Coturnix japonica: one gene and its partners. The protein of the gene in region 1 interacts with the protein of each later gene in a pairwise test. Links are inferred from orthologs where the notes say so. Each region holds a gene or a part of one and is shown on either strand. Other genes may lie near its edges.

Region 1 (5,041 bases):
GTGATGATTTGGATGAGGGAATTGAGAATATCTTCAGTAAATTTGCAGTTGACACCAAGATGAGGGGAAGTGTTGGTCTGTATGGGTGTAGGAAGGCCCTGGGATCTGGATAAGCTGTATCAATGGGCTAAGGCCAACTGTATGAGCTTTAACAAGACCAAGTGCCAGGTACTGCACTTCAGTCAGAACAACCCCGTGCATCACTACAGGGTTGAGACAGCTGAAATGCTGCCCATGCAGGTGATGGCGTCACCATCCCTGGAGGTGTTAAAGACACATGGAGATGTGGCACTGAGGGACGTGGTTAGTGGGTATGGTGGGGGTGGCTAGGAGGGATCTGGGGATCTGAGAGGTCTTTTCCAACCTTAATGATTCTGTAATTCTATATAAACATATATAAACAGATATATAAAACCTTGTCTCAGAAGCTATGTATAGACTTCATTCATCTCCAGCAGTCTGTATGCTGTCAGTCTGAGTTTGGGGCTCCTGATCACAGGGCAGCAGTGTGCAATCTCATCGTGGGATGCAAGCACCGAGATGAAACCCTGGATATTGTGACACCGTGTGAGCTCACCACTGAGCACCACTCCTGCTCCATTTGCCACTAGCACTCAGGAGCATCTCTCACTCCTGATTTCACTGCTGAAAGCTTCAAGAAATGCTGACAACTTAAATGTCTTCCTCATTAGACTGTTACCAGGTTTTCGCCATTTGACAGCTTTAGCACAGTTTGAGCCAAACTATTAAACATTATTCAACTTTTACCTAGAAGGACACAAGAAAAATAAAGGAAAATACTGGAGACATCCCTAAGCTGGGATTTATCCCTGAAGCAACAGCAGCCAGGCTGATGGCAGAAGACATCTGCTCCCCTTGGACCTCCTTTCTCAGCACTTGGTTTCACTCCACAACATCCTGATTTTGTTTCTTGGACGCAAAGGGAGCAGGAAAGTTCTCACTGACCCATCACTGCCCTCATGGCCCAGAAGAGTCAGAACTAACTCTTTGATGTTGAGTCTAAAGAAATCCAGAACAGATGAGGAAGAAGTGACCAGCATGTTATTAGCATCAGAACCACCTTGAGCAATTCATAACCAAACCAAGCTTAATCCTCATCTCAACTCATGAGGATGTTATTTAAACACAGAATCTGCCAGGGCTCTTCCTCCATCCCCTGAGGAGCCCAAACTGTTTCTCCCACATGCACACACAGCATGGAAGCTGCATGAGCTAATTGGAAAGACCTGAGGATTACAGTGGAATCTTTGTTACCTTTGGCTACCTTGTGAAAATTAACCCAAATGCATATTTTCCCAGTTGTTAAAGCTTGCTTTCACAATGCCCTTGAAGAGCCAGTTATGGTAAAGCCACAACTTAAACTGAAGTTTCTATTATAGCTGGAGAAAAGGGAGAAGCATGTTCTAAAGGAGGAGAACAGAAAAAAACAAAACACCACAAGCCCTCAAACTTTACACTTACAGAACCCACTTCTCTTTCCAGCAGGTAAGAAACGGCTCCAGTTCCACTGTGACGGGGAAATGGGCTGAGGAGCTGCACTGCTCTAGGTCCCAATGGCAGAACCATTCAAAAGCAAAGGGCTCATTTTCTCAGCTCAAAGTAGAATAAAAAATCCACTTAAAGACAGTGAAGTTGAACAGATAAGGTACCGTTTTTGGTTTCTATTTTGGGAGCACAACCCTAACTCAAGAATCTGTAGGTATCTAATTAACATTGCTCCCCCCATTACACTTATGCTTCCAAGCCCACACTGCTGTAAGATTTCAGCAGGGCAGAAAAAAAAAAAAATAAAATAAAATAAGAGAAAAAATTGACACAGAAAATCATAGGGGTATTTCATTTCTCATTTTAAGTTTCTCCAGGCATGACCATCCATCAGCATTCTGCTCTCACCTCGGCTTTTGGCTGCCCAATAGACACAGCTGAGTTGGTTCATCCAGGGAACTGGAATGCCTAGCAGCCTATGGTGTTCACATATAGGATGAGTTTCAGACTCACCAACCCATGCCAGCACTTACAAATGGCCAGGAAAACACAAGGGCTTGCCTGGCAGAGCTCTGGCTGCCTGATGCTGAAGGGGCTAAGAGAGCACGAAGTTATCCTTCACTACTGCCACTGCCTCTGGACCTTATTTATGCATTCACTACATTTTATTTTTAAAGCAGAGCTGAGGATGCATGTGTTTAATTGCTAGATGCTGCAGCCAGAAAAGCTGTGTAATTACACCATTTGCATGCCAGTTATTTCATTCTATTCTCCTAATGTATTTAAGCACAAGTAACCTCACCAGCCCACTAATCAGGAAGCCTATAAATACTGAGTGGAGGTACAAGGCACACCCTTGTGAGTTCACCCAGACCCTGGTAGGGGAACCCTGGGGATGATGCACCCACAGGCAGACAGTACCATGCTGCAGCCTCGTCAGGTACTGAGGTGCAGGAGCCAGGGTGCGCTGCAAAACCTAGGGAGTCCAGGGGACCTTCCTGCAAGTAATTTGTGTTACTTCGGAGTCTTACATCCCCAAGTTAAGGACTAAGGATACACTCCCATACCCAGGTGTTGGGGCAGGACTTGGGAAAGGGGGTGCAGGACCCAAGGAGGTACTCCCTTGCTCGGACAGTCTAGAGGATGCAGGAGCCCAGCCAGACTGGGGGATGAGCAGAACGGGCATACATGCTGCATGTGCACCCCCAGCGAACCCATGGGGTGCAGGACCCAGGGAATAATTCCAATCCTAAATTGCTCCCAGAGTTCAGGACCCCATATCCAGCCAGAACAGGGGTGCAGAGCCCAGGCAAGGGGACGTGGGGTCTGGGCTGCAACCCTATGCTTAACGGGTCCGGGAGATGGAGAACCAAGCCGCACCCTATTCCTACCTGCTTCGGGGTAGGAGCCGGACTGCACTTATCCGCTGCCAGCCACGGATGCAGGACTCATGCAAGGAGATGCAGGACTCATGCAATGAGATGCAGAACCGAGAAATAACCCCAATACCAAGCCGGTCGGGGGGTGCGTGATGCAGGAGGGCTGCAGGAATCCCCGTGCACTCCCGTGGGCTTGCAGGACCCGCGCTAAGGGAATGCCTGACCCCAACTGAGGGACCTCGGGACCACTCACATCGAGGATGACGGAGGTGCCCTTCCTCTGCGCGGAGGCTCCCGAGCTGAGCAGCTCCCTGTCGGCGACGCCCTTGTCGCTCATCCTGGCCCCGACCCAGCGCAGCAGCCCGTCCAGCCCGCGCAGCGCCGGCGCCGGCTTCCGCAGCAGCCTGTGCACACCGGCCCGGCAATACCGCGCCGCCTGCTCGCACATCGCTCCGCCCGGCCTCGTGCCGGAGCCCGGACTCCCCCCTCCTCCTCCTCCTTCTCGTCCTCCTCCTCCGCATCGCGGCCAGGGGCGGGTTCCTGCCTCCTCGCTCTGCCCTGCCCGCAGATTTTGGGGTGGGGGTCCCAGCACACCCCTCAACTCCCTCCCAGAGCAGCTCTTCAGAATTCTTGCTAGGAAACCAAGAATTGGTTCTGATCCCACGGCCCAGAATGCCAGGGATGTCATCTGGGGCAACGCAGCATCTGTGGCTGCAGAGCTAAGCGTGATGCTCAGCCGAAGATTCCTAATCCCATATCGTTCTGTTTCACAAAGATGTTCACTGCTGGTACACTTGTGTTCATTTATCTTCCTGTGGATATGTCCTGCAAAACTAAGATTGTAGAATCATAGAATAAGAGTCATTAATGTTGGAGAAGACCTCTCAGATCCCCAAGTTCAACCCCAGCCCACCCCCACCATGACCATTGCCTGCATCCCTCAGTGCCACATCCCCATGGCTCTGGGACACCTCCAGGGATGGTGACTCCCCCACGCCCTAGGCAGCTGTGCCACTGCCTCGCTGCTCTTTGGGAGAAGAAATTGTTTCTCATATTCAACCTGAACCTACTCTGGCAGAACTTAAGGCCACCACCTTTCATCCTATAACTGTTACCTGGGAGCAGAGGCTGAACTCCACCCCACGACAACCTCCTTTCAGGGGCTGGAGAGAGCAAGGTGCTTCCATGTGAGCTCAGACACAGGGATGCACTGGGACAGGGGGCTTGGAACCCTCACTGGGGTCTCCAGGTACTCGTGGGGACTTGGTGTCAGCCCAGCCCTTGTGAGCACTGCAGTTTGCCACTGGGCCCCATGCCTGTTCCCCAGAGAACGGACAGAAAATTGCTGGCACCACTCAGATCCCCTTCACATCTCCCAGCAAATATAATCCAAGGCATGGCATGCCCTGGCAGGCTCATGAACCAGCTACTGGTCCATAGTTTTCAGGCCCCAAATGACAGCAGCTTTTTCATGGTTTTGCAATCCCTGTATAATATGCAACACTTCTTTCTCCTTTAGACATCTGTCTGCTAAATGGGTCAGTCAAGCTGTGCTAATCACACAGCAGCCTGGCATTGCTGTATGCTCTTTGCTGCCTAATTTCATAAGCAAAGTTCTTTAGATTTTCATTTGTTTCCATTTGCTCTAAAGATTCATTGCTCTGTTCAGAAGTCTGAGGCTATTTCTCTTCTTTTGTACAGATCTTTTCCTGCTAATGTCAAAACCAGCTTTACCTCATTTAAATACTCATTTTTCTTCCTTAGTGAATCTAGACTGGAAAAAAATTCAGCCACTCGAAGTGGAAGCAGCAAATGTTAATTATGAGCTGGGACAGCAAGATACAGCCTCAGCACCAGGTGTGGTGCCAGAGGTCTCCAGGCTCCTGCCACAGCCAAGGCAGAGCAGAAGGCAGCACCCGTGTGTACTCTGAGTGCTGCTCTCATGACCCTCTCCACACCACAGGGGTCTGAGATAATGAAAACCTTCCAGCAAAATGCCAGCTGAGATTGCTGATGCTTGTTAATGGCTGCTGGGACTGATCTGGCTGCTCAGGACTGGGAGGAGGAATCAGCAACCCCACTAAGAGGGGAATCTGGTAGAGCAGAACTGACACCCTATACAGGTGCAGGAGCACAGCGGGAGCCTGCAGTGCCCT
Region 2 (4,548 bases), on another chromosome or scaffold:
GCTGTGTCTCCTGCTGCCAAAAGCACCAAACTTGAATCTTGTCTGATGCCGACAAAAGCCCTGAATGGATGAAAGATGTCGGTATGAGCTTTCTGCTTTCAGACTCAAGAGCCTGATGGCACCTTTAGAATCTCATCTTGGAAATGTGGAAATGTGCATCTACATCCACCACAGCCAGGAGTGTGCAGCAGAAGTGGTAACAGTGCAGCAGAAGTGGAAACCGATGTACGCTCTGCAGAAATGCTGTGTTGGCTCCCTCCATGAGAGTGAAAGCAATTTGCTTGGTGTGGGTTACGTTGACCTTTTAGCAAATCTAAGTCAGATCCGACCTGTCCCAGAGCTGGCATCAACAAGCAAATAACCTCAGAGCTTGACCTTTACCACACCACGTTAACTTTTCCTTTAGTGCAAGTGAACAGTATCTAGTTTTATAATATTACCACTGAATTGAAAATCATGAGTGCAGAACATGTCCCTGTCTGTGTGAAGGTTTTCTAACATCTGGCTGTGATCTGAGAAAGGTACCACGGTGCTGTAAGGCCAAAAAACCCAGTGCCTCACATGTCCGCCTGAACTTCCTGGAGCTTCAGGAGGAAACGGGAAAATCCTTCATAACTTAAAGGCAAAAACATAACACTTATACATGCCGTTACTTCAACTGGGCTTTGTAATGTTTAAGAAAACGTTCAGAAACTTGGACATGTTGCTGAGGACTTCTACTTAACTACCACAGCGGTTCTTGGATTAAGAGTTGTAAGACAGAAAAATAATCATTTCATTGTGTGTATAAGTAACTGAAATAGATTTTCTGCATTTCCCATTTTTCACACCTCTCGTTGTCATCATTCAGAATGCCTGATTTATTTTTGTAGGCAGAAGCTATCCCCAGAATTAATGCAGTATTACTAGAAAGAAGACGAGAACTGCAGAAGGAAATTGATATGAAAAAGAGATGTTTAGCTGAACAGGTGATGAGTTCTTCATTCTCATATTAATTCCCTGTAATGGTTGGTTTTCTGTCATGAGAATAAAGGAAACAATATTTGAACTGACCAGCAGGACAGCACAAATCATGGAAGTTCCCTGAATAAACTCTCCTTTGAACTACAGCAAAGACTCGGGAAAGTCCAAATCTTGATTTCAGAATTACCACATCTCTTTGAGGTTCTTAGCATAGAAGGTGTTTTCCAAACCTTTTGTAACACAGTTTATTGCACGCTCTGATTCTGTTGCTTTTATATTCAGCAGCTGGAAGTGCTGCTGGATGGAGGAACAGAAACTTTGCATGTGCTAAAATATTTTGATGTTACTATGAGATCATGTGTGGTGCTTCAGATGGTATTTTTAAAGTCAGCTTTATTATTCATTTATTTTTAAATCCGTGCGGTTCTATATAGGCATGCTTTGTAAATAACACCAAAGTGTTTCAAACGTTGGGTTTTCCAACACTGATAATACATCAGCACTGATTTCCTTCAGGAGATGATATCAGACACGGATGCCCGCACATTAGAGGAATGCATTGCTGAAGAAGGCCGGTTGTTCAAGGAGCAGGAAAAACGCCGCGATGAGTTATCCAGACTCGCACGTCTGACTTGGCTCAAAGTTGAAGAGAAGGAACAGAAATCGAGGGAATTTCAGAAAGTCCAGGTACAATAAATCTCACATAATTGAAAGTCTGCTCTAAAGCAAAAGTTCCTATATGAAGAAAATAAATCACTGATGAGAGGAACCTCACAGACTCTCATTTCCCATTTTACCTCAAAGTTCCATCGCAAACATTCATCACAGCTGTCCTTGTTCATTGCAAAGGAGTTGGATCTTTAAAGAGATGAGCTTTAAAGGTCCCTTTCAACTCCAAGGATTTTATGATTAACACAGGAAGCTCATAATACACTGTTAGTTTGGTGGCAATTTATAGTGACATATAACAGTGCATTGAAATATCATGCTACAGTTGAACTAAGGTGTTTGAAAGGACTTTTTCTTTCAAGCCTACAGGATAAAATGAACAACCATGGAAGAGGCAGAAATGCAGATAGCCTCAGCTGAGGTCCTTGGAAGTACAAGAAGGTTGTTTTGTTTTGCAAACATTGACATCAGAACTATTCACTCGAAGGAGAGACACCAATTCTTATTTTCCTGATACACTTCAATACATAAATCAGTCTATTTATTTGAAGGAAGGGGGAAAACTTCCCTGTTCTTCTGGCTAAATATCGAGAACAGACTATTTACACTTCCACAACGTATGTCTGCCTTAAAATAAATTGGACGGCTACCCTTATAGTATGCTGTGAATTTCTGACTGTCTATAGAAATAGATTACAAGGAGCAGTTCAGGCTTTGCAAATTCAATAAAAATAAGTCCATAAACAGACAAAACCATTAAGAATATAATTTTGTTAACAAACACTCCAGCCTAGAACTGCAACCAGACATCCACCAGCTTCTCTAATGGCCATATTGTCCTCTTGATATCAGTGGGAGATGAGAGAAGGTTTGTCCACTGAATGTAAGGCACACAAACTAGTAAGGACTGAACAGAACTGAAATCCCTATTGAAATGTAAGTGTTCTGTGCTACTCAATCACCAGAGACTGCTGAGAAGGCAGAGAAAGTTTTTTTAAAAGTGTTATTACAGTAAAAGCATCTCACTGTAATTAGGATAATTTTTTTGAAGAATTTTGACCGTATTTTTCTCATCTAAAAGAGCTGTTCTGTTTCGCTTTGAAAATATTGCTTTGAAAAATCTAAAGCGCTTACTGAATTCTATTTAAATTTCAGATGCAGTTTCAAAATATTATTAGAGAACTAAAAAGAAAGGATCTTGAAATAGAACAGCATAAAAAGAGGAAAAGAAGAGTTCAAAAACAGTAAGAAAACAATTACACATTAGATAAAGTTATTCTCATCCAGATAATGTGTGCATAAACTTGTAAGAATTATTTCTTTCACACTTCTCTTCAGACTCCGAGGAGCTGCTAAGATTTGTGAAGTAATCAAAAATGAAAGGAATAAGTGTATACATTTGCTTAATATTGCTCAGCAGAAAACTACTGAAATTAAAGAGCAGATAAAAGTAAAAGCAAGTGAAAGTGAAACTTTAAGGAATACTCTTATGACCCAAGAAAGGTGAGTTTTAACTAAGCTGTAAATCACAGAGACAGAAATGGGAAAGATTTCTTAGAAAGAATCCTATTCACAGTTACTACCCTGATTTTTAAAACCTGATCCAAACAAAGAAATACTGCAGCACCCTCACAGAACCTGCTCCATTCCTAACAATTTACAACTAGTTTGGGCATCACTGCATGGGAAGGAAGTGCTTTTGAAGTTTGTCTGCCCTCTTCCTCATTTTCCTTTTCTTTCAAGTGAAAAACTGTCTTTATACTTCATTCGTATAACTGTTCTAAAGCCTCAAGCATCTGAATATGAACAACTGTTGTACCCATCCTTTGGCAAAAAGAGTTCCAACCCACACACAACTCCACTACAGACTGGATGGTACCAGTAAATGAGTCGCTAGCTAGTAATATGGCCAATTAATTATTAAATTAGAACTGAGTTTCTTGTTTCAAACTCAAATTGTATTCTGTTGGATAATATTTATTTCAGATCAAGCAAAACACAGTTTCAAATTCTAGGCAGTCCTCATCAAAATGAAAGCTTACACTGACAGCAAAGAGGATAACAAGGTGCAGCTGGTGTTTGCGATTCTGTTTTTTCCTTCATTGTTACTTAGTGGAGATGCCTTTTTGCCATCTTTTTGTCATCCTAATGGTGATTTTCTGCTTCGCATATATAGACAGTGACAGTATAGCTGAAATTAGTAGTTGGGAAAGCAGGAAACTAGGAAAGGGTTAAAACTGTAAGCAAAACAGTGCAGTCAAAACTACGTTTACAAATAATTTGTTTTGCACAAAACTTTGCTTTCTGGTGCCAAAAGAAAAACTGCACAACCAGATGTAAGACTGCAATCAGGATAAATTCAATCTATATACATAGTGAATCTCCATGTGCCTTGACTTTGGAGCCATGCTGGAGCAAGTTGGAAAAGAGGTGGAGCTTGATGGACTGAAGTGATTCTGAGGACGTGCATTTTGTGCTCAATTTTTTGAGGCCTTCCCAATAAATTACTTGTGAGAGGAAGAGGAAAAAAGAAACAAAAGGGTAAAAATCCATCATGGTATCCCTGACTGAACTGCAAACTACTCGCTTTGGAAGACAGAGTACCGGTTTGAAAGTTTATTTCATATTCCATTTAATAATTAAAAATAAAAATAAAAAATGCTGCATTTCTCCTATACCTCCATTCTGTCATTCTGAGACTTGATTGACAAAAGCGGAAACGAACCAGAAAGAATCTCACAGCTTTGCTCAGAGTAATTCAGCCGCCTCATGACAGAACTGAGAATGGGAGGCAGGGCATCTCATCTGCAGCTCCGTATTTTAATAGGAGACAGCGCTTCTTCTTTCACTACCTCTTTTGTATGTTGTAGACAAAGCGTACCAGCATAGATAAAGTAGTCTCTTAATCCACAAGTG
Region 3 (4,548 bases), on another chromosome or scaffold:
AGTTTTCACAGGGACACGTTTTTCATTTTTAAATACTCACCCTTGCTGCTAATAAATCATCAGATACCTGAAACTAAAGGAAAATCAAAATGGAACTTTGTGCTAATAGTGGCCGTCCTGCTTCCAGCAGAGCTGCAGAGTACTGACTTTGGGAAGCTCTTTTCCCTGAGGGCAGCTCATGCAGCAGCTGTCCCTGTGGCCATGTGCGTCTGTTTGCTGCAGCCCACCAGGAGCTGCTGCTGGAAGGGTCCAGCCTGGCTGCTTCAGGCACTGCTGACAACTGTGAGAAGAGCTGAGCCCGACTTGCTGCAGAAATTCTTCTGCATCGTATTTTCTCTCCCCGTTCATCCCCCCCCCACCCCAAAATATTTAAAATACCTTTGCATTTTAAATTAAGAATTAGTCATTGCTCAGATGCCAGTCGTGCACTATTAATACACTAATGAGATCAGGTTGTGCTCTCGCTGAGTGAATACTTGCCAGAACTCTTGAAACAAAGTACTGAAAATGCTGGGGCTGCCACTAAATGTTTCCTTGTTAGTGCTAGGGACTGCAGCAATGCAGCTTTTAAGTGGATCTCCCCTAGGACACGTGTGGATGGTGAATATTTAGCTTGAAATAACATTCCTTAGTCACACAAAAAATCTACAGCATCCTATTGGATGGGAATGGACATCAGTGTGGCTGCTGTGCATGTGCTGTATATGTGGGGAGTGCATTTCTGGGCTGGCAGTGCTCCCAGGTCTGGGTCCTTTCTTTTCAATACAGCTCAACATCCATGCAGTGTTGTCATGCTGAGGAATAATGTGCTCTGGTGGAGGTACAGGATGCAATGCCAGGGGTTTGTGTTACAGGTGCTGGATTTCACAGCTCTCCACTGTGCTGTCCACAGCATGAGTGAGGTTGCATTTCAATCTGTGTCCTGACTCATATCTCCACAAGTTAGACCTTTATGCATAAAATGGAGAGGTTGGTCTCTATAAGGTATGAAGGGTGAAGTCAGAGTGAAGTTGGTGAGCTTTAAGCCTGATAGTTCTGTGGGATTCTTATATCTCGTGCTATGGCCTTTTGCTGTGTGATGCAGCTGTAATGCAGAGCACTCCAGTTCCCATGTCCTCAGCAGTGGCCTTCTCATGCTTTCAGATGTGGACCTGTGGAGTGTGTACTTGTGCTCAAGCACTGTCTGTCTCTGAGTAGCACCTGGGCATTGTTTTGCTCTTCCATGTGAATTGAGATGTGTCAGCTCCCACATCTCTCTGTTGAGTCTGTAACAAAATAGATGGTAAGCTGGGATTCATAGTTAATAAGTGCATAAGAATTGGAAGTTTAGGGTATTTTCTGTGTTTGAATGATGTATTACCATCTCTGGAAGAACACACACAGAGTTGGATTCATGTTGAACATAAGGTATAATGTACTGCAGGACATTAGAAGATGCAGACCCTAAACCAGAACTTAACTAACATGATGCAGGGTAAAGCATGCCTTCTCCTTGCCCTGCGTGTGCCTCGTTGATTGCGCATGCCTCAGATTATCAAAGTGCTTTAAATGCTTTAGAAGCAAGCAGTGTGTGTCTGCTTGGAAATTTTCCAGGGCTGGGTACCACTGTGCTCCAGCACAGGGAATGTTCTGCTGGCTTGTAGCTTGCTCTGCTGGTTTGCAAGGACTGCTCTGGTGCTTTGGAACGGGCTGGAAGCTGGCACCACTGCAATCTACTGTGAGTTCCTGATGCCTAGCAAAGGTGTCTGCATTAGTGACACTGTTGTTAGATTCCATACTCAAGTCTTTTGTAGTGCACCTGAGAGCGAATAAAGTGCTGTATTTTGTCTTATGAATTGACACCAATAGTATTTGTGATACAGCTGTCCTTGCCCTTTACCCTCGGGAGCACTGTCTCAGCTCGCCCTGTTGCTGTGCTCCCTCCACTTGTGTGCAGACATGCTTGCACTTGGGTTTGTCTTCTGGCAGCTGCTGCTCGGGGCAGTTGGCGCTGCTTTGCTCTGGTTTGGGGAATTACACACGTTAGAGGAGGGCTGCAGGGGATGGACGGTGTCCCAGTGCTCATTCCCATGAAGTGTGTGCTGATGGCTCTCTCTGCTCACAGCCCGCAGGTCCAGCAGCGCTTGGCATGTGGGCATGGAGGGGCAGCACGAGCACCCGCAGCATCTGGGGGACCAGACCAGCGCCCTTTGCAAGCTGCCAGGCCAGGACTTCCAGCACGACCCACAGGTGAGCATGGCCAGCCCTCACCTTCCCTTCTCTGCCCTTCTTTCCTCAAAGACCTCTGCGGTTCTGAGCCCTGTGGCTGTTTACTCCTCTGTTAATAGCCAAGGTATATCCAGTTTGGGATGCTGCCTGCCAACCAGTCTCCTGGATCCAATTTTTGATGATGATAAGAGAAAAAGGAAACAGTTTAAATTTTGCTTAGTTCAAGTATTCTTTAAGCAGCCTGTAAATACATGTTTTGCGTTGGCTTTCTCTGCTCTTTGATTTTTTTAAAGAAAAGGCTGAAGAAAAGCATTTGTTTGAGTGTAAACAAATAATATTTTATTTCCTTGCATACTTTGATAATAAGTGCTGAAGAGGTAGTTACAGAATACCAGATAAAGTTCATTCTGTGTCAAGGCTCAGTGACTCTGTATTCAGAGAGCTTCTGGAAGGTTTCTGCCCCATTGTGTTGGGTGGATTCTGTTTCCATCCTGCCTGGCAGTGGTTCCCCTTCTCTTCCCTCCTTCTGTACAGCAGAGAGCCCCGACCTGCTGCCTGGGTGCTCTGGCCTTGCAGCCAGCAGTGCTTGTGGCTCCTGGGGCAAATAAGGGCTGCTGAGAAAGCTGTGCCTTGTGCCCAGTGCAGGGTTTGCAGTGATGATGAGTTGCCTGCACGTACAGCAGTGAATGTATCCCACACAGCACTGCTTGGAAAATACATCGTATGGAGCAAAGCCCCCCTTTCCTAATGTAGCAATTTGTCATATTAAGTCACTTAATAATAATTGAATCCCCTTGATTAATCTCCTAGAATTAGCCAGTTGCATTTTGAGCAATTAGGGTTAATTACTGCCTCATTTGGCAGGATAGAGCCCCTGTAATTATTTCATGAACAAGATTAGGAAGTGTTCCTGTGTAGCAGATACGTTCATGGCATCTTGGAGCACATGTTAGAATTTGTAATGACATAGTTAAATGTAATTAGTAGCTAGTAATCTGCGTGCTGCTGTTGTGCTGATGCTGAGTGGGCTCATTTTGCCGCATGGTCACCGTGCAGTGAAACCTCCCCTCAAGGCTGTGAGCAGCCAGGTTGTAGTGGTGGGACTCCTGCAGTAAATTGTCTGTCTGGAGAAGGATTAGAACTGTAGGGAGACTTGCTTAGATTTTGTTGTTGTTTGTTTTAAAAGAAGCAGTAAGTGTGGTTTAGAAATAAGCATGAGTTGTCACGCTCACAGGGCAGGCCCATGTCTGGTGTTGGCATAGGATGACCTGTTACGTTCCATTCAGCAGCAGAGGCTCTTTGGTTTTTCCAAATTGCTTTGCTTATTTCCATGTTACTGTGAATTTCTCTCTCTCCTTGTCATGAACTACTACAAAGAGCTGTCGATGGAGATGGTAAAACTTTGACATTCAAGCCAAGTTCTTCAGCAAACTTTAACTTGTGGGTAACATTTGAGGTGAAGGACACCTCATGCTGTAGTGCAGTCTGGTTTTGAAGCCACAAAATGCAAAACCTGATGTATTCTTCAGTAATTACTTGACTGCCTGCTTGAAGGATAATCCATATTTTAAAAGTTTCCTCATCTCTTGTGAGCTCAGAAGTTCTTTTTTTAATCAGTCTGCTCTAAAGTGTTCTCATAAATTCACACTGGAATTTCAGCCTCAAAGTATCTGAAATTCTTTTCAGGTGAGCATTACTGAGTGGAGATGGGTGTACAATTTGGGACATCGTAAAGAGGCTCTGGAATGCTGCTGCTGATAGTAAATCATTGCCTATAATGTATACGTGTTCAGCTGTAGGGGCTACAGCTTCTCCATCTCCTATCACAGATGTCTTTTAAAGGTGAAATTAGTTTACGGTAAATGTCATTCAGATGAAGTATGCACTTTAGAAGCAAGGAAACAGTTGCTTTAAAATTAATGATGCATTGCAAATATCAGAAAAAAAACTTATATCCTGCATAAAGATAATTAAAATTCAGGTCAGAGCTGTATGACTTCGTCAGGCTAAATTTTTTAATGAGATTTCAGAAAATTAATTGGGCGAGTATGTTTTTTACTCTTCTAAAGAGTATTTCATTGCATGGCTTTACAGGAAAGAAGCTTTTATTAGTATTGGAAGGCTGCAGCATCTGACTTTTAACTGTTGATTTACTGATTCTTAACAATTTTAGCTTGACTAAAAATACTGGAAGCCTTGGTGCAGCCTTGTAGTGCCCACAGACTGCTGAGCAGTGCCAGTTTTCCACACAGCAGTCAAACTGCAGCAAAGCAATTGAACATATCATTAATTGTTGTTAATGCTCGGGGTTTACTCCTTGAGCACTGGGCAGGGGCCATT
Region 4 (5,230 bases), on another chromosome or scaffold:
GGCCAGCAAAGAGGCATTGAGTGGCACAGTTTCCTTCTTTTTTACAAGAAACAGCAGATGGCTTTAGAGGCTGCAGGTTCCCACATGCCTAAGAGGAAACCTTCACTTGCCAAAGCTAAAAGCCCACTGCCAGGTATTTATATTGTTACAGTGTTAACTATAAATAAAAAGAAAGGCCTGCTTCAAGTTGAGTTCAGAGCTTCAATCTGATCCTTTAGGCTGGAACAGCATGGCTGAAACCTGGCACAAAGAGTATTTCACACTGATGATGCTTCATCAGTATTACCAGCTGCAAGGAGAAGCAGCTCTGTACCTTCAGTAAGTGGGAAGAGTTCACTCATCTTCTGCCGAGCTCTTCTGAGCTTCACCAGCTCTCCCTCTTGGCGGAGCAGCTTTATCAGATCCAAGTGGCAATTGTAGTCAAAAGCATTGATGGAAAGCTTTAAAGAAAATAAAGGAAGTTTTTAAAGGCTTGCAGAAGTCAGCAAATACTCAGCAGAACAGAACTTTACACACTGTTTTCTATGTGTCACATCCCTGCAGTTCTTGAACACCTCCAGGGATGGTGATCCCACCACCTCCCTGGACAGCTTGTCTCAATTCCTGACTGCTCTTTTGAAGAAGCAGTCATTCCCAATACTCAACAAGAACCTCCCCTGGTATAACTTAAGGCCTTTGCCTCTTGTCCCATCGCTGTTATATGGGAGAAGAGAGCAACTCCCACCCTGCTACAACCTCTTTTCAGGGAGTAGTGGAGAACCATCCTACAATTCTGTGATCCCCAGCTCCCTCAACCTCTCCCCATATAGCTCGTACTCCAAACCCTTTACAGCTCTGCTGCCCTACTCCAGACATGCTCCAGGGCCTTGATGCCTTTCTTCTGTAGTGAGTAAATTAAACGCAGCACTTAAGATGCCTTGCCTTCACCAGGGCCAAGTACAGACAGACATTCACCTCCCTGCTCAGTTACACAGAATCACAGAACTGTAAGTGACAGGAAAAGGCAAAGTCCTCTGAGGATCCCTCAGTCCAACCCTCCCCCCAGCAGGTAGCATTAGAAAGCATCCCAGTGGATCCTGAGCATCTCTAAAGAAAGAAACTCCACCACCTCCCTGGGCAGCTTGTGTCAGGGCTCTGTCAACTTCACAGCGAAGAAGTTATTTCTCACGTTCAGATAGAACTTCCTGGGTTCCAGTTTGTGCCCACTGCCCCTTATCGTGTAGCTGGGCATGGCTGAAAAGAACCTGGCCCCATCTTCACGATTTCTACCCTGACAAGTGCTGCTCCCTCAGCCTTCCCTCCTGCCTCAAGGGCAGCCTCAGGGCTCCTCAAATAGAAGCTGCAGGCCCCGACCACCTCTGCAGCCCTTCATAGAAGATCCCTGTTACTAAAGCTGGGCTTTAAAGTTCTGCAGAAGACTGAACTCACAGCCCTAAGGCCCGAGAGCCCCCAAGTACAGACACAGCGCTAACACCCAGTGAGCCCTCCTCAGCAAACGCGTTTTAATTCCTTCAAGATCACTAAGGAAACCACCATCTGAGTTCACTTTCAACATACCAGGGCTGCTCCCTGAGTCTCTCTCGCCCTGAAGCGAGGAATAAAAAGCGAATTAAAAGGCATCACGCCCGGAGGCGTTTCCAGATCTCCATAACCAAAGCACGGTACAGCCGGGCCCCACCTGCTCCTCCAGCCGCTGGATCTCCGCCTCGTTCTCCTTCTCCTCATCCTCGCCGTCTCCTGATGAATCCGAGTCGCCTTCATCCTCCGAATCCCCCCCCGACTCGGGGTCTCCCTCCACCACACGCTTCTCCTCCTCCACCGCCGCCTCGGCTCCCGCCGCCGCCATCTTGTTGCAGCTCGCCTCGCTGCCGGCCGCTCTCAGCCAGCCGATGGGGTTGGCTACTGCGCGCCTGTCTCAATATTGTACATTCCCCCCAGCCAAAAGCGGTGAAAGAAAGGACGATAAACTCTCCCGACAAGGTTCTGCTCTTCTCCGCGTCCAACTGCCACGAAAAGCCGAGCAGCTCGGCCCGTTACTCCTTATAATTTAGTCTGCTGCAGAGGCAGCGCCACGGACACCTCAGGGCCTCGGCCTCCAGGGGTCCTTCGGGAGGGTTGGGGCAGAGCGCCGCTGCCAGGTGCGGGCAGACTCAAGATGGCGGCGCTGAGGGCGGCGGGGGCGGCGCTGCTGCGGCCCGGGCGGGGGGCGACGGCGGTGGGGGGGGCGGGCTACCACAAGAAGGTGAGAGGGGCCGGGTAGGGCTGTGGGGAGCCCATAGTGCCCGTTGGGGGTTGTTAGTGACACGTTGTTCTCGCAGGTGGTGGATCACTACGAGAACCCGCGGAACGTGGGCTCTCTCGATCGCAACGCAAAGAACGTGGGTACGGGCCTGGTGGGAGCCCCGGCCTGTGGAGACGTTATGAAGCTGCAGGTGAGGGGAGCACGGGGTGCCCTGTAAGGACACAACCATCAGTGTCTGCCACCATATGGCTGTGACATAGGATTCCTCCGTCACACCCCCTTTAAGCCCCTCTGCAGGCCCTAAAATCCAATAGACCCCCAGCCTTAAACTCGCTGTCCCTTTACGCCCCTCTGCAGATCCTAAAATCCAATAGACCCCCAGCCTTAAACTCATTGTCCCTTAAAGTCCCTCTGCAGGCCCTAAAATCCGATAAACCCCCAGCCTTAAACTCGCTGTCCTATCGCTGTCCCTTTGTGTGTGGTTCCTACGTGGAACTGAGCGCCCCTCTGATAACTCCCACAGGTGGAAGTGGATGAGAACGGCCGCATTGTTGATGCTCGCTTCAAAACCTTCGGTTGTGGTTCTGCCATCGCTTCCAGCTCCTTGGCAACAGAGTGGGTGAAAGGGAAGACGGTAAGGGCTTGGCTTAAGGGGCACAGTGGGGAGCAGGTACATATTCACACCCACTGCTGGGATCAGGGAAGGAAACAGGGGTCTAGAGAGGTGCTCTCCAGGTGTTACACTCACATAGAAGCTCAGAATGCAGTTTCATCTTTCCTGACTTTTAAAGCAATATTTGCCTTTTCTGGAAGTCTCCAATAAGCTGTGAAGAAGCTTTGGGTGCTACACAGCAATCGAAAATAGATAAAGAAAGCACTTGTATAGTGGAATGTCTTCCATTGGCTGATCTCCGTGTGCTTGGCATTGTGACAAGCAGGTTGTTTCTATATTACAGCAGAACAAACCTGGAACAGTCCCTGCAGTTGGTCAGCAGTAAAATAATGCTCTGGTTTATTAACAAGCACTGCACACTTTGAGACATTCCTTATATTTCATAGAATCAGGGGTTGAAATGGACCTCTGAGTATCACCTAGTCCAGCTCCTCTGCCAAAGGAGGTTCCCTGTAGTAGGTTGCAGATTTGTTGCTTGGCAGGAGCAGAATAAAACAGGTATTATTGAAAGGCCTTTCTTATGGTAGAACACTATCAGCAGCTTTTACTGCCTTCTCAGAGCGTGACTTTGGTTGGTTCCAGTGCTTTGAAGCACACCTGTATCAAATACCTGCGTGGTGTGTGGGCATCATATGTACATGTGTATGCCTGACTGATGACTGTACCCTACCCATACATTTCAGATTGATGAAGCATTGAAAATCAAGAACACAGACATTGCAAAAGAACTTTGCCTTCCTCCGGTCAAACTGCATTGCTCTAGTAAGTAAAGCATCAAACACGTTGTTATTTGAGAACACAGATGCTTTTGTACGTTCTCCAAATAAAGCTTTGCACACATAGCAGCTAAGGCTGACCCACAGTGGTGGTTATTGCTGGCTGCTTCTGCTTGTACTGCATCTTTTGTTCTAAGTGACTTGTCACTGTTATTTAAAGTGCTTGTAAATGACATTGTTTTGTGCTCTTTTTCTCCCCTAGTGCTGGCTGAGGATGCAATCAAGGCTGCCTTGGCTGACTACAAACTGAAACAGGATCCAAAGAAAGGAGAGTCAGAGCAGAAAGCAGACTAATTCCTAAACAGACTGTAGAGGTTGTCCTCATTCCAGTTCAATTTGCAGTGCAATTATTCTAGCTGTTAATAGAATCCTGTGCACTACTCAAGAAGCTGTAAGATACGCACAACTCAACGCACAACGTGTCACTGGTCATGTGTGTACAGCCACCCTGGTAGTGCTTAAATGACTGGAACGTGGGTATTTCAGCAGCCTGTGTCCTGTCAGGATTGGTTTTGAAATGGTGAGAGTGAAGGGCTGCTCTGCTTCAGGGCAACCCCCCGGTAGCTTCTCAAGAGAGAAAGAATCCTCCTGTTCCAGCATTGGAAGGGCTGCACTTTTTTTCTTCTGTATAGTTTTGCCTAATGTTTTACAAAGAGTTTGGTGGGAAACTTGGTTGCCTTGGTCTTTATGTGGGTCACTTTGTCAATCAATACAGTATATATAAATCTCATGTGGTTTGGCTGCAGCTGTGTTGGAGTTTGGTTTCACAATCTGTGACCTCTCACATGCTGTCTATCCCCTGCGTCACGCTGCTCTCTGGGAGGAGCTGGGATGCTTCACCAGGCACTAGAGGGCACTGACTGTGGGAGGTGAGCAAATAACAGCAGCTGCAGTTGGTTGCCAGGAAGCTCAGAGCCAGCAGCGTTAGCAGGACATGTTTGTGTTCACATCCTCCAATAGCAGGAGGGTTAATGTTGGAGCATCTTTTAAAAGCATTCAACCCTTTAGTTTGCCAAATACTGTTAAGGGAGATTAAACACACGCTGAGGATTCAAACCCAGAATGCAAATAGCTTAACTGGGATGTAATACTGAGGGGAACCTCCCTGGAAGAGCAGGAGTCAGCCTGTGCCCTCTGGGGGTGTCTTCTGAACTTCCCCCATCCCTTCCAGGGCAGAGAGAGCAGCCAGTGCTCTTGGTACTAAGCCAGGGGCAGAAGGGGATCCTTACCTGCTGCTGGAGCTGATTTTGGATGCTATTTCTGATAGCTTCTGTTGTTGCCTTTGGTAGTTTTAGGGCTGGATTCTCTTCATTTGTGGAAAGAAACCTCAAAAACACAGCCTGGCAGATACCTCCCCCGAGCAGCTCTGTGTGCACAGCTAAAGCTGCTCAAACTGCTTCGCTGGAGGAGTGAGTTATGAAGAGAGCACAGGGGTAGCACTCACCAAGTGGAGGATTTGCCCACCCACCACATGAGCTGGGCTCCTTGGGAGCGTGGGGCACAGAGTCAGTTCAAAACAGGCGTTTTATGGCCACACAG
Region 5 (4,548 bases), on another chromosome or scaffold:
CAGTACATTTTTCAGACCCTAAAGAAAATCATTGTTAGTTTCTATTTGTGTAATCTTGCATTTGACTTCAGTAACATAATCTTGGTAGCAAAGGGCTAAGCAGGAGAAAATATATGAGCCCTGCATAGCTGTATCATGGGCACATACAGCTCCTGTGGTAAAGAGCAGTATTAACTACCCCATCAGTCACATAGACCTCATGCAAGTATTTGAGTTAAAATATGAGCTATACCAGGCAGTTTCAGAAGACAAAAAATGCAACAGATCATTTAAAGCAGAGACTGCCAAAGGTGACTCCTTTCATAATACTGAATCTTCAAATACTTCCTCTTTCCTTAGGATCAGGCTAAATGGAAGTGGAGGTGATTCAGTTTAGATCTTAAGAGTGCAGCTTACCAACTTTTCTAAACCAGTGGGCTTCTGAAGTTCTTACATCTCTCGTCAAATTCTCTTCTGTGAAAGGTTCAGCAAGTCTCTGTTGAGCTGCAGAAAACATGTTGTTTAGGTGACAGGCTGCATTTTCTAAGCAGAATACAAACATTTCCAAGTCCAATACCTACATTACAAATACCATTTTCCCAAAGCTCCCATGTAATCCCTGATGGAGGGTTATTCTCACAACTTACATCTAATATGATTGACCCCCAAAGCTTAGAAAAAAACATTAGAATGGCTAGTATAGGAAATTTCAGTATAGGGCTGAAATAAGGAGTCAGTATGGACCTAATCATATCATAAAACACATGGAGGAACTACAGAAAATATAAACACAACAAAAACATACCCAAGGTCAAATAAGTCAGCATTGACTTGATGTCTTCATCTCTAAAACAGAGGAAAAATCACGCTTTAGATAACATTTGATTAATTTTCTTACAATATTATCTTACATTATTGATGCAGGAAAACAACAGCTTTGTAATAACTGATATGATCACTGCTCTGACAAATATCAGGCATTATTTCAGAAGACAAAGCATACACTACATGTATAATTTATCTACCATAAGCATACATTTTTTACACACATACTCACCTTTTCTCTTCTTTTTCTACTTTTGACAACATAAGAGGAACCACAACTGTGAAGAAACAAGATTTTTTTTTCCAACAGTGTCCTTCACTCTCAGCTTTCAGAAAGGATCCCTCTTTCTTCCTTATGCCATCAGTTCCTATAGCTCACAAAGGAATGTGGTGTCAAGCTGAGAAGAATATTATTACCAAGTCATAAATCTTGGTGCTTGCATGGAAAAGACTTGAAATCTATACAAACACTAAGAGTCTGAGCCTGAGGTACATCCCCAGCACCAAAAGCACTGCTAACTAAGCTTTCATCTGCTCTCCACCTCCCTCAACAAAATCACTTTTGTTGGAAAGAGAAACCGGAGTTCTCTTTCCTTGTAAATATCTCAAACCCTTACTTTAAAGCTGCAAATACTTGTCGGCAGTCTTGTGAATGTTCAGACAGGTGCTCCAAAGCTCTGATGGCCACAACTTGTTGATCATTCTGAAAAACAAGTAAAGCACAATCTGTATGAAAGTGTACTTGCTCAGTTTCTGCAAAACAAAACAACGAATAAAAAAATAAATGGAGCAAAAGACCTACACAGAATTTCTCTCAGAGCTGAAAGAAAACCACAAGGAGGGATACCATTGCACATGCAAAGAGCCTAATGCAATATAGGATCAGTACAATTTGGGAAGGACTTCATGCCTTAGAATGCTCTACAGCCCTACAAAGCACCCAACAGCCTCTCCTGCAAATGCCACTGTCATCAGCCAGTTCAGGCATTGTTGTCACTGATCAGTGATCTCTTTATTGAGGCAAACAGAGGGACAAAAGTTTTTTCACTCCTTCATCATTCCCTTATGTAATTTTGCACAAAGGTTCCTCTAGCATTGCAAAGATAAAATCCCAGAGGTAGGAAGAAATGTAACATTTTGCTGAAGAGAATCTTACAGAAATATGCCACGGCATTTCTAGATATGAACATTTACAATTCAGAATCACTTCTTTTCCAGAAAATAACAGTTTATTCATACATGAAGTCGATTTCCACTTTGCTTTACACAATACATCTCAGAACATATAGTGAGACTTTGTTCACACAAGCATTAAATACTTCAAAGTGCATGAAATAGAAACACTAAAAGTCGGCCAGGTTACAGATGTTACAGCTGTCCTACTTGTAGAATAAGGCAAAATAAGGACAGTGTTATCTGTTCTACCTCTAAAGCAATGTGGGCAGCCAAACTCAGGAGGTTTGTGCTTGTATTTTCATCCACTATCAGCTTGTCTTCATGTTGAGGTGGCTTTTCTGCTAGCTTCCCCATTTCAATAATTGCTTCCACAGCTGAAATACACATAGAGAAAAATCAATCATTGGGCTCTTTGTTTGGTTGGGTTTTTCTTTCATGGAAGCAACGGGAAGGTGTAAAGTTCCACTGTTTTAATAAGGCAACTTATCAAAGGCTGTCATTTTATTTTCTAATAGGAAAAAGAAAGACAAGAAACCCTGACCATACGAGCAGCTCTCCACAACTACGCATTTCTTCCCAGAGGGGCCAATAAGGCATTCTAAGCTCCTCATCTAAGGAAACAAGGATGCCACACAAACAAAACTGCATCTCACATATTCTTAATTTTGCTCTGCTAAACGTCTTTTTGTCACAGAAGACTTTCTTTAATACACTGTCTGGGCAGGCTTCCAAGCTCCCACATCTTGGTTCATGTTAAGGCTGCTGCTGCTTTTATGCTCCTACTGTGCTGTAGTTCCCACTCTGTATTATATGAGCAAATTAGGCTGTCAGTTAAAAGACATAGAGAATAATTAATCAGCACAGAACTCATTGAAGAGTAAGATCTGTGTGTTACTCTGTATTCTAGTTAAGTATATAGACTATATTTCTCAATTCTGATTATTTGAGCTGGGATTCTCATTAAAATATGAAACGGCAGAAGAAAGAGTCTACAGACATATGTCATTCTGTAAGTCATCTCAGTCAGCTCGTTTATTTTCTGGTAACTTCAGGCTCTGCTTGACCAGAGAAATCAAGAGAGGTGATAATGGTTCAGCTAAAGTTCATCTAACTCTGAAGCACTTTTCCAGCTGTACATACTTATAAAAGAACATTAGAAATAGCAAGGCTACAGTGATTCTCATCCTGGGATGCTGCTCTAGTTTTGCCCACAAGATTAGAAAATTCCTAGACAAAGACTTCATCTGGACAATATTCCGGGTGTGAGAACAGACTCCACATGTTACATGCTATGTGTAAAAAAACATCCCCCTCTGACAGCTCAAAATCTACAGCCTGTTGGTTTCAGTGATTTTATAGACCCTTCTCTAGACCCTTCTCTTATCTTCTCCCTATTGTGTCTTTCCCAGAACTAACAGTCCACGTCTGCTGAGTATTATCTACAACTCTCAACACTTCTGATCATGGTAGCGGACCCTTTTGTCTATCAAGTTCTACCTTTATCAGTATCATTCTCCATCACTGCAATCTTATAGACACTGAACTGAGTAAAGATGCTGTTTGGATCACATCTTTCTGCTTCTTTAACTGCCTCTTTAGCCTATACACAGGAGAGATAGGAATTCAGTGCAATGTTGCAATAGAAGAGAGCTTAAAATTGTAATGGTTTCATTATAGATGTTTATACAATTACTGTACAAGTTTGCTTTGGCAACAATCCCCTCTCCCCAGAAAGAAAAGCAATCAGAGCAGAAGATAACACCAAGGGCAGACAATGACTAGAGAAAGCAATTCCTCAATTAGAGCCACAGAATTAGAAAGCAGGAGAAGCCCTGAGAATGCTGAAAGATTAAACTTGTAAGTTAAGTCCAAATGATCTAGCTACAAACACGAAAGCAATGTAATTAAATATATATACCTTGTCAATTTGTTTCAGATGAAGATAACAAGAAGCCATATTTCTCTGCAACTTAGCCAGATTCTGATCTATCTGCCCAGGTGTATAGAAGCTGACAGAATAGTTGTACCAGTTAAGAGCTTCAGAATAGCTTTTTGCCTAGGAAATTAAAAAATAAAAGGAGGAGGCATGATAGTTTGCAAAAATTAAACAAAACCATCATAGGAAATAAAAGATTCAGATAGTCAAGTACATTCTAGTGTAGTCTTTTTTTCCCAGAAGAGTGGTCAATGATCCCAGAGCACAGGCATATGAGTTAGGAGAACAGATATTTTACCTATTCCTGCTCTTCCACTACAGATGTCTCAGTGTAAGGAATATTCTAAGGTTTTTGCACTCTTCCCAGGGCACAGCCAGAAAGGTGAACTGCACAGGTTCTGTGGCTGATCCATTCTGGTATTAACTGTTCCAGTTTACAGACCTGGAGAAGAACCTACCTGAAGCCTGATGTTTTAATGGGAAAGAGCACCCATTGGGATGAAAGTAAAAGTAGTTCCAAATGGAACAGGGATTTTACTAACAGCTTACCCTATATACAAAGCCAGACATATCAAAGAAGACAGAGAAATAAGATCTTCATTTTCATTCATACAAACAACAACACCACACAG
Region 6 (4,839 bases), on another chromosome or scaffold:
AGGATGGGGTACTTGGAGGGTTGGAACAGAATATCCTCAACAGTGCTGTGCAACAAGAGTGGGATCTGCAGCCAGACATCACGTGTGAAAGAAGCAGAGCCCAAAGATGAGGGATGGACTAGAGCTGGCTCACAGCCCGGGTCTCAGTGCTGGATATCTTCAGTCTCGGCTTGAACTGATCTGGGTCAGATGTGTGACAAGCAAGCAGAGCCTGGGACACTGGGGTTAAAGCTCGGCCCGTGGGGCTGTGCTTCCCTCTGGACACACTTTGACCCTGCAGCAGAGGAGCAGTGGAGGGCCCAGGACTCCCATGTGCTCCTGCTGACTGCAGGGTCCTGCTCTCAGAGCCACAGCTGCACCCTGAGCTCTGGCAGTTTCACTTTGCTGGCTGGAACATGGCAATCAATGCATTGGTCAATAGGAATGTACAGATTCTGTCAGTAGAGGCATTATGAGTGCCAATGGCCTCTGTTCTCAGTAATTTCCTCGAGGGGAGATGGGAAGGGGGCTGGGCATGTTGGATGTACGGAGGTGCTGTAGGTGAGATGTTTTGGCCACAAGGCTGATGCTGGCGGGGCTTGATACCCAGAAACTACCATCTCTCAGGCAGATAAAGGACATGCCCGCCCCTCCTCAGCCCACTCCTGCTGCAAGGGCAATGCCCTTCTCTAACCCATCTCTGGTACGAATGAACCCCATGGCAGGAGGCCCAGGAGAGGGTAGAGCACAGCACGTCCAGAGCTGTCCTGCCCAGTGACGTGACAGCCGCCAGCAGCAGCAGTGCTGTTGTGTAACATGTCACGCGGAGCCCACGCGCGTGGAAGCAGCGCTTCACCTTTGAGCAAATGCTGGATTGCACTCAGCTGTGACACGCAAGTGATGGGGGGGGGGGAATGCAGCAGTTTTCAGCACCTAAGAGTTATTGCTTTCTCTGGTGCTGGAGGAAAATCCTCCCTTGAACAAAGAAATAGGTTCTGGCTTCTGGAGGGTTTCCTGACCCCAGTTTTGCACTGGGGCAAGAGTGGATAAAAGGCACAAGAAGCTACGTATAGAAAACAGTGGAATGCAACCACTTCCAGCATGAACTCCTTCACAAACAGGGAGTGTATTGAGTTCTGCCACATAGAGAAGCAATGGAGGTATAAAGAACAAACACATTTTCCATCTTCTGCTTTACGATACCCAGTAATCCGTCATTAGATAATCAAAATGGTTTTATTAAAACAGAAAGCAACAATTAGACATTCAGTGTAAATCTTCCTGAGGACACCAACCTAAAAGATAAATTCACTAGACGTGAGCAATAGGTGACTTTGCTCAAAGCATGGAAGAGCTCTAGCTCACTCCTGCTCTGCTCTCTGCTGGAAGTCTGCCCGCCCAGCTCTCGAGCCCTGCTCTTCTCAGCACGCCCTCTGTGCAAGGAAAAACCCGATAAGTGCCAGGCCAGGTTTCAGTCTGGTCAATTAGATCAATTAGGTAGCCACAGGCAGGCAAGATAGGGGGAGTGACAGCAAAGCAAAGCCGCACTTAAGAGATGCCAGAAGATGTTTCTGCCTGGACAAAGCCAGGTGGATGATAAAGGAGGATGGAGTCTGGATGCAGAATGCCAGTCATGAGCCAACAGCACAGTGCAGGTTAGTCAGGTTGATGCATATGTGGCTTTTGTGTCATTTATTAGAATCTTTTTCGGCAGCAGGGAGCAGGTGATAGTACCAGCCCTGCCCCCTGCTCTCTCTCCGAAGCTGCTCTCACCAATACCTTTGAATTTACCTCTGAAATGTGCCAGCTCTCCCCCAGCAGTGTGAAGGGAGGAGGCTCCAACTGGCTGCATCTGGGACTGCCAAGTAATCTGGGGTGGAGGAAACTGCACTGCAGGGAGAAGGAAGGTCTGAACAAACTGGAAAACAGACTTAGGCCAGGATCTGGTAGGTCCAGCTGATCCTGGGTGAACGGTGACCATCTTGCTCTCCCCTCCCACTGTGATTTGCTTTGAGGGCCATGTGTTGTTCTGTCCCTTCTACAAAGAAAGACTGGAAGAGATGCACTGCTCTCAAGAATTAAGTGCAGAGGAGAATGAAATGCATTTATACACAGCAGTGTGCCAAGAAGGTGGGTGAAGCTGGTGGCAAGAGGCAAGGGTGGGCGATGGCAGTGGTTGCCTGCAGCAAGGTGAGACAGAGATCAGGCTCACCTAGGAAGGTAATTGACATTTTTTATCAGCCTGTAGCACTTTGGTTCTGATTGGAAAAGTGCAATTGCAGCAGCTGTTTCATGAGATCAACCTCCAAGGAATTTCTATAGCAGGTATCAGTGAAATCACAGCTTGTTGCTCTGCCTGTGTAGGTAGGACATCCAGTCATTGAGAGGAGGGTTCCCCATAGCCACCAACTTTTTCAGAAAGGCACTGGGACGTAGCTGGGGAACATCAGGGTGCATCTCAGAGTATTTTTGCAGCTTAGCCAGAATGTTAGGGAGCCCAACAGTGGAAGCGTAGAACATGGGGCCACCCCTGTGCTTTGGCCATCCATAACCATTGATATAAATTACATCAAGGTGTTCTGGGCCTGACGCTATTCCCTCCGCCAGGATGTCAAATCCTTCACTGATAAGAGCAAACAAGCAACGCTCCAGGATTTCCTCCTGGTCTATAAAGCGGGTCTTGATTTGATGGGTGTCCCTGTACTCAGACAGAAAGCTGTGAATCCATGGGTCTGGTTTGGATATCCTACCCCCAGCCTTCTCATACTGATACCAGCCTTTTCCAGTCTTCTGGCCAAACCTGCCTTTCTCACACAGAAGGTCAGGCAGTGGGCTGTAGCGATAACCACGCCGCTGGCGGGCGGGTGTTCCTGGAGCCAGTGAGGGCCCAGTAAGGCCCTGGTCCTTTCGAGACCTCCAGCCCACATCCAGCCCAGCAAGATCAGACATTCGGAAAGGCCCTATCTTAAATCCAAAATCTTCAAGAACCCGATCTACGTCTTCTGGTCTGCTTCCTTCCTCTAAAAGGAAAACTGCCTGTTGTGTATATGGAAACATCATTCGGTTCCCAACAAACCCAAAACAGTTCCCTACCACCACTCCAACTTTCTTCATCACTTTGGCTAGCTGCATGGCCGTGGCAATGGTGGTGGGGGACGTGTGACGGCCATAGATTATTTCTAATAGCCTCATCACATGAGCAGGGGAGAAGAAGTGTGTGCCAATGACTTGCTGTGGGCGGTTGGTGACAGAAGCTATTTCATCGATATTCAGGGCTGATGTGTTTGTACACAGAAAGGCCTCTGGCTTGCAGATTCTTGATAGCTTGTTGAATATTTCCTTCTTTAGTGCCATGTTCTCAAACACAGCTTCAATAACTAGATCTACATCCCTCAACACATCAAAGTCCACGGTGAACTGGAGTCGTGCAGGGTTATGGAAATCCAGGGTTTGGGCACCCTGCTCCATTTTCATAGCCTCACGTTCCAAAAGGAGCATCACGGCTTTTCTTCCTGTGTTCAGATACTCCAGATCCTGCTCCAGGCCTACCACAGGTATCTTGGCTTTAACCAGAGAAGTCACGATGCCTCGGCCCATTGTTCCAAGCCCTGGAGAGAAAAGTGAGATAGAATCAGAAACTACAAATAGAAAATGTTACAATCAGTCACTTGACAGCAGCACTTCCTTCAGTATTTCCAAGATAAAAAGCAGAAGCTTAAGCAAAATGCACAGGCAGAAAGAAAGAACTGAAGACTCAGAAAAAGGAAGGTTAAGTCTCTCTTTCAGGGAGCCTCAGTGTCTGAAGAGCAATAGCATAAAGGCAAACTGGTGTCTTCTCAAGGTTACAAAATACCAACGGGATTCACAGGGGTGTGTGTGGACCACATGAATTCATGTCTTGTCCTTGCAAAGTTTTATCCCTATGGAAACCAGCATCACTTAATAGTTAGAACTTGGGGAGTGAAGACAGAAGACCAACACTATTTCTGGCAGCTTCATCCTGAGGACACCAGTGCCTCTCTGGTCCTTTTGAGATGGCCCCTCATGGGCACTCACAGATGAACACCTCTGCAAGCAAAGCCACCCCACACAGATATTTTGACACCAGAAAAGCTCAGACAGTTGGTTTCTTCCTCTTCCTTGCAAGCTTCTTGTTCGTCTCACCCTGCGTTTCATTGCGTAATCTTTGATGTGAACACAAATTCAGCTGCTCTTTCTTTAAGGCATCTCAGAAGAGTCTGATCTCGACTTTCATGTCTCCTATATCACTCATCATCAGTTCAGGCATGGAACTGACACTGTGCTCTTACCCTGAACATCTTGCTTGCTGTTCACGCTTTGTATTGTACATCTCTGCCAACGGGGGGCAATCCAAGTCCTCTGATAAGGGCCATTCCTAACTTTTGAGGATTACTAAAGATACAGCCTCCCTTGTCTAACCACACTCTTGTCCACAACCAATCACCCATTTAAGCTGTATTTTTTTTCCTCTGAGATCCACAAATGTGCTACGACCAGCCCACACCCTGAGAAATAACACTGCTGACATTACTGCCTTGATACTTTCCCTCCTTTTGAGCCCTTCCCCTGGCTCAGCCCTCTGTTACATTAAGTGAAGCTGCGTGCTTACACTCTCCTATGATACCCAGCCCACGCTACTTATTCTATTCTCCTACAATGGAGGCTTTGTGGACAGAGCTAATACAAACTAGTGAGAAAGCCAGCGCAATTTTACCAGCTTTAAAACTGCAAAGCACTCAAATGGGAGGATTATGAATATCCTAAAGAAAGGAACAACTATGCAAAGGCCAGGTCTGTTATAATTCTGTAAAAACGATTAATATTATTTTTTTAATCCTT

Evidence for each region.
Region 2: the proteins of NECAB2 (region 1) and CCDC146 interact in binary tests that used the Homo sapiens proteins (3 or more experiments, as listed by UniProt). The two-hybrid records come from large-scale screens. The link is inferred for Coturnix japonica from reciprocal best matches to the Homo sapiens genes NECAB2 and CCDC146.
Region 3: the proteins of NECAB2 (region 1) and NEK6 interact in binary tests that used the Homo sapiens proteins (3 or more experiments, as listed by UniProt). The link is inferred for Coturnix japonica from reciprocal best matches to the Homo sapiens genes NECAB2 and NEK6.
Region 4: the proteins of NECAB2 (region 1) and ISCU interact in binary tests that used the Homo sapiens proteins (3 or more experiments, as listed by UniProt). The two-hybrid records come from large-scale screens. The link is inferred for Coturnix japonica from reciprocal best matches to the Homo sapiens genes NECAB2 and ISCU.
Region 5: the proteins of NECAB2 (region 1) and TEX11 interact in binary tests that used the Homo sapiens proteins (3 or more experiments, as listed by UniProt). The two-hybrid records come from large-scale screens. The link is inferred for Coturnix japonica from reciprocal best matches to the Homo sapiens genes NECAB2 and TEX11.
Region 6: the proteins of NECAB2 (region 1) and EHHADH interact in binary tests that used the Homo sapiens proteins (3 or more experiments, as listed by UniProt). The two-hybrid records come from large-scale screens. The link is inferred for Coturnix japonica from reciprocal best matches to the Homo sapiens genes NECAB2 and EHHADH.

Annotation. Positions count from the first base shown.
Region 1 is NC_029526.1:122,026-127,066, reverse strand, and holds the start of NECAB2 (N-terminal EF-hand calcium-binding protein 2), read right to left. Parts: upstream 3,381-5,041; 5' UTR 3,334-3,380; coding exon 3,139-3,333; intron 1-3,138. UniProt on the Homo sapiens protein: May act as a signaling scaffold protein that senses intracellular calcium.
Region 2 is NC_029516.1:11,449,634-11,454,181, reverse strand, and holds part of CCDC146 (coiled-coil domain-containing protein 146), read left to right. Parts: intron 1-872; coding exon 873-968; intron 969-1,479; coding exon 1,480-1,650; intron 1,651-2,787; coding exon 2,788-2,876; intron 2,877-2,970; coding exon 2,971-3,135; intron 3,136-4,548. UniProt on the Homo sapiens protein: Essential for sperm flagellum biogenesis and male fertility.
Region 3 is NC_029532.1:7,821,525-7,826,072, forward strand, and holds part of NEK6 (serine/threonine-protein kinase Nek6), read left to right. Parts: intron 1-2,104; coding exon 2,105-2,229; intron 2,230-4,548. UniProt on the Homo sapiens protein: Protein kinase which plays an important role in mitotic cell cycle progression. Required for chromosome segregation at metaphase-anaphase transition, robust mitotic spindle formation and cytokinesis.
Region 4 is NC_029530.1:5,667,666-5,672,895, forward strand, and holds ISCU (iron-sulfur cluster assembly enzyme ISCU, mitochondrial), read left to right. Parts: upstream 1-2,143; 5' UTR 2,144-2,155; coding exon 2,156-2,242; intron 2,243-2,318; coding exon 2,319-2,432; intron 2,433-2,765; coding exon 2,766-2,876; intron 2,877-3,598; coding exon 3,599-3,677; intron 3,678-3,893; coding exon 3,894-3,985; 3' UTR 3,986-4,436; downstream 4,437-5,230. Other genes in the region: SART3 (squamous cell carcinoma antigen recognized by T-cells 3), read right to left, coding at 314-440, 1,679-1,846.
Region 5 is NC_029519.1:2,408,873-2,413,420, reverse strand, and holds part of TEX11 (testis-expressed protein 11), read right to left. Parts: intron 4,037-4,548; coding exon 3,899-4,036; intron 3,581-3,898; coding exon 3,478-3,580; intron 2,355-3,477; coding exon 2,230-2,354; intron 1,508-2,229; coding exon 1,422-1,507; intron 1,085-1,421; coding exon 1,037-1,084; intron 826-1,036; coding exon 785-825; intron 484-784; coding exon 397-483; intron 1-396. UniProt on the Homo sapiens protein: Regulator of crossing-over during meiosis. Involved in initiation and/or maintenance of chromosome synapsis and formation of crossovers.
Region 6 is NC_029524.1:2,549,219-2,554,057, forward strand, and holds the end of EHHADH (peroxisomal bifunctional enzyme), read right to left. Parts: intron 3,588-4,839; coding exon 2,317-3,587; 3' UTR 1,197-2,316; downstream 1-1,196. UniProt on the Homo sapiens protein: Peroxisomal trifunctional enzyme possessing 2-enoyl-CoA hydratase, 3-hydroxyacyl-CoA dehydrogenase, and delta 3, delta 2-enoyl-CoA isomerase activities. Catalyzes two of the four reactions of the long chain fatty acids peroxisomal beta-oxidation pathway.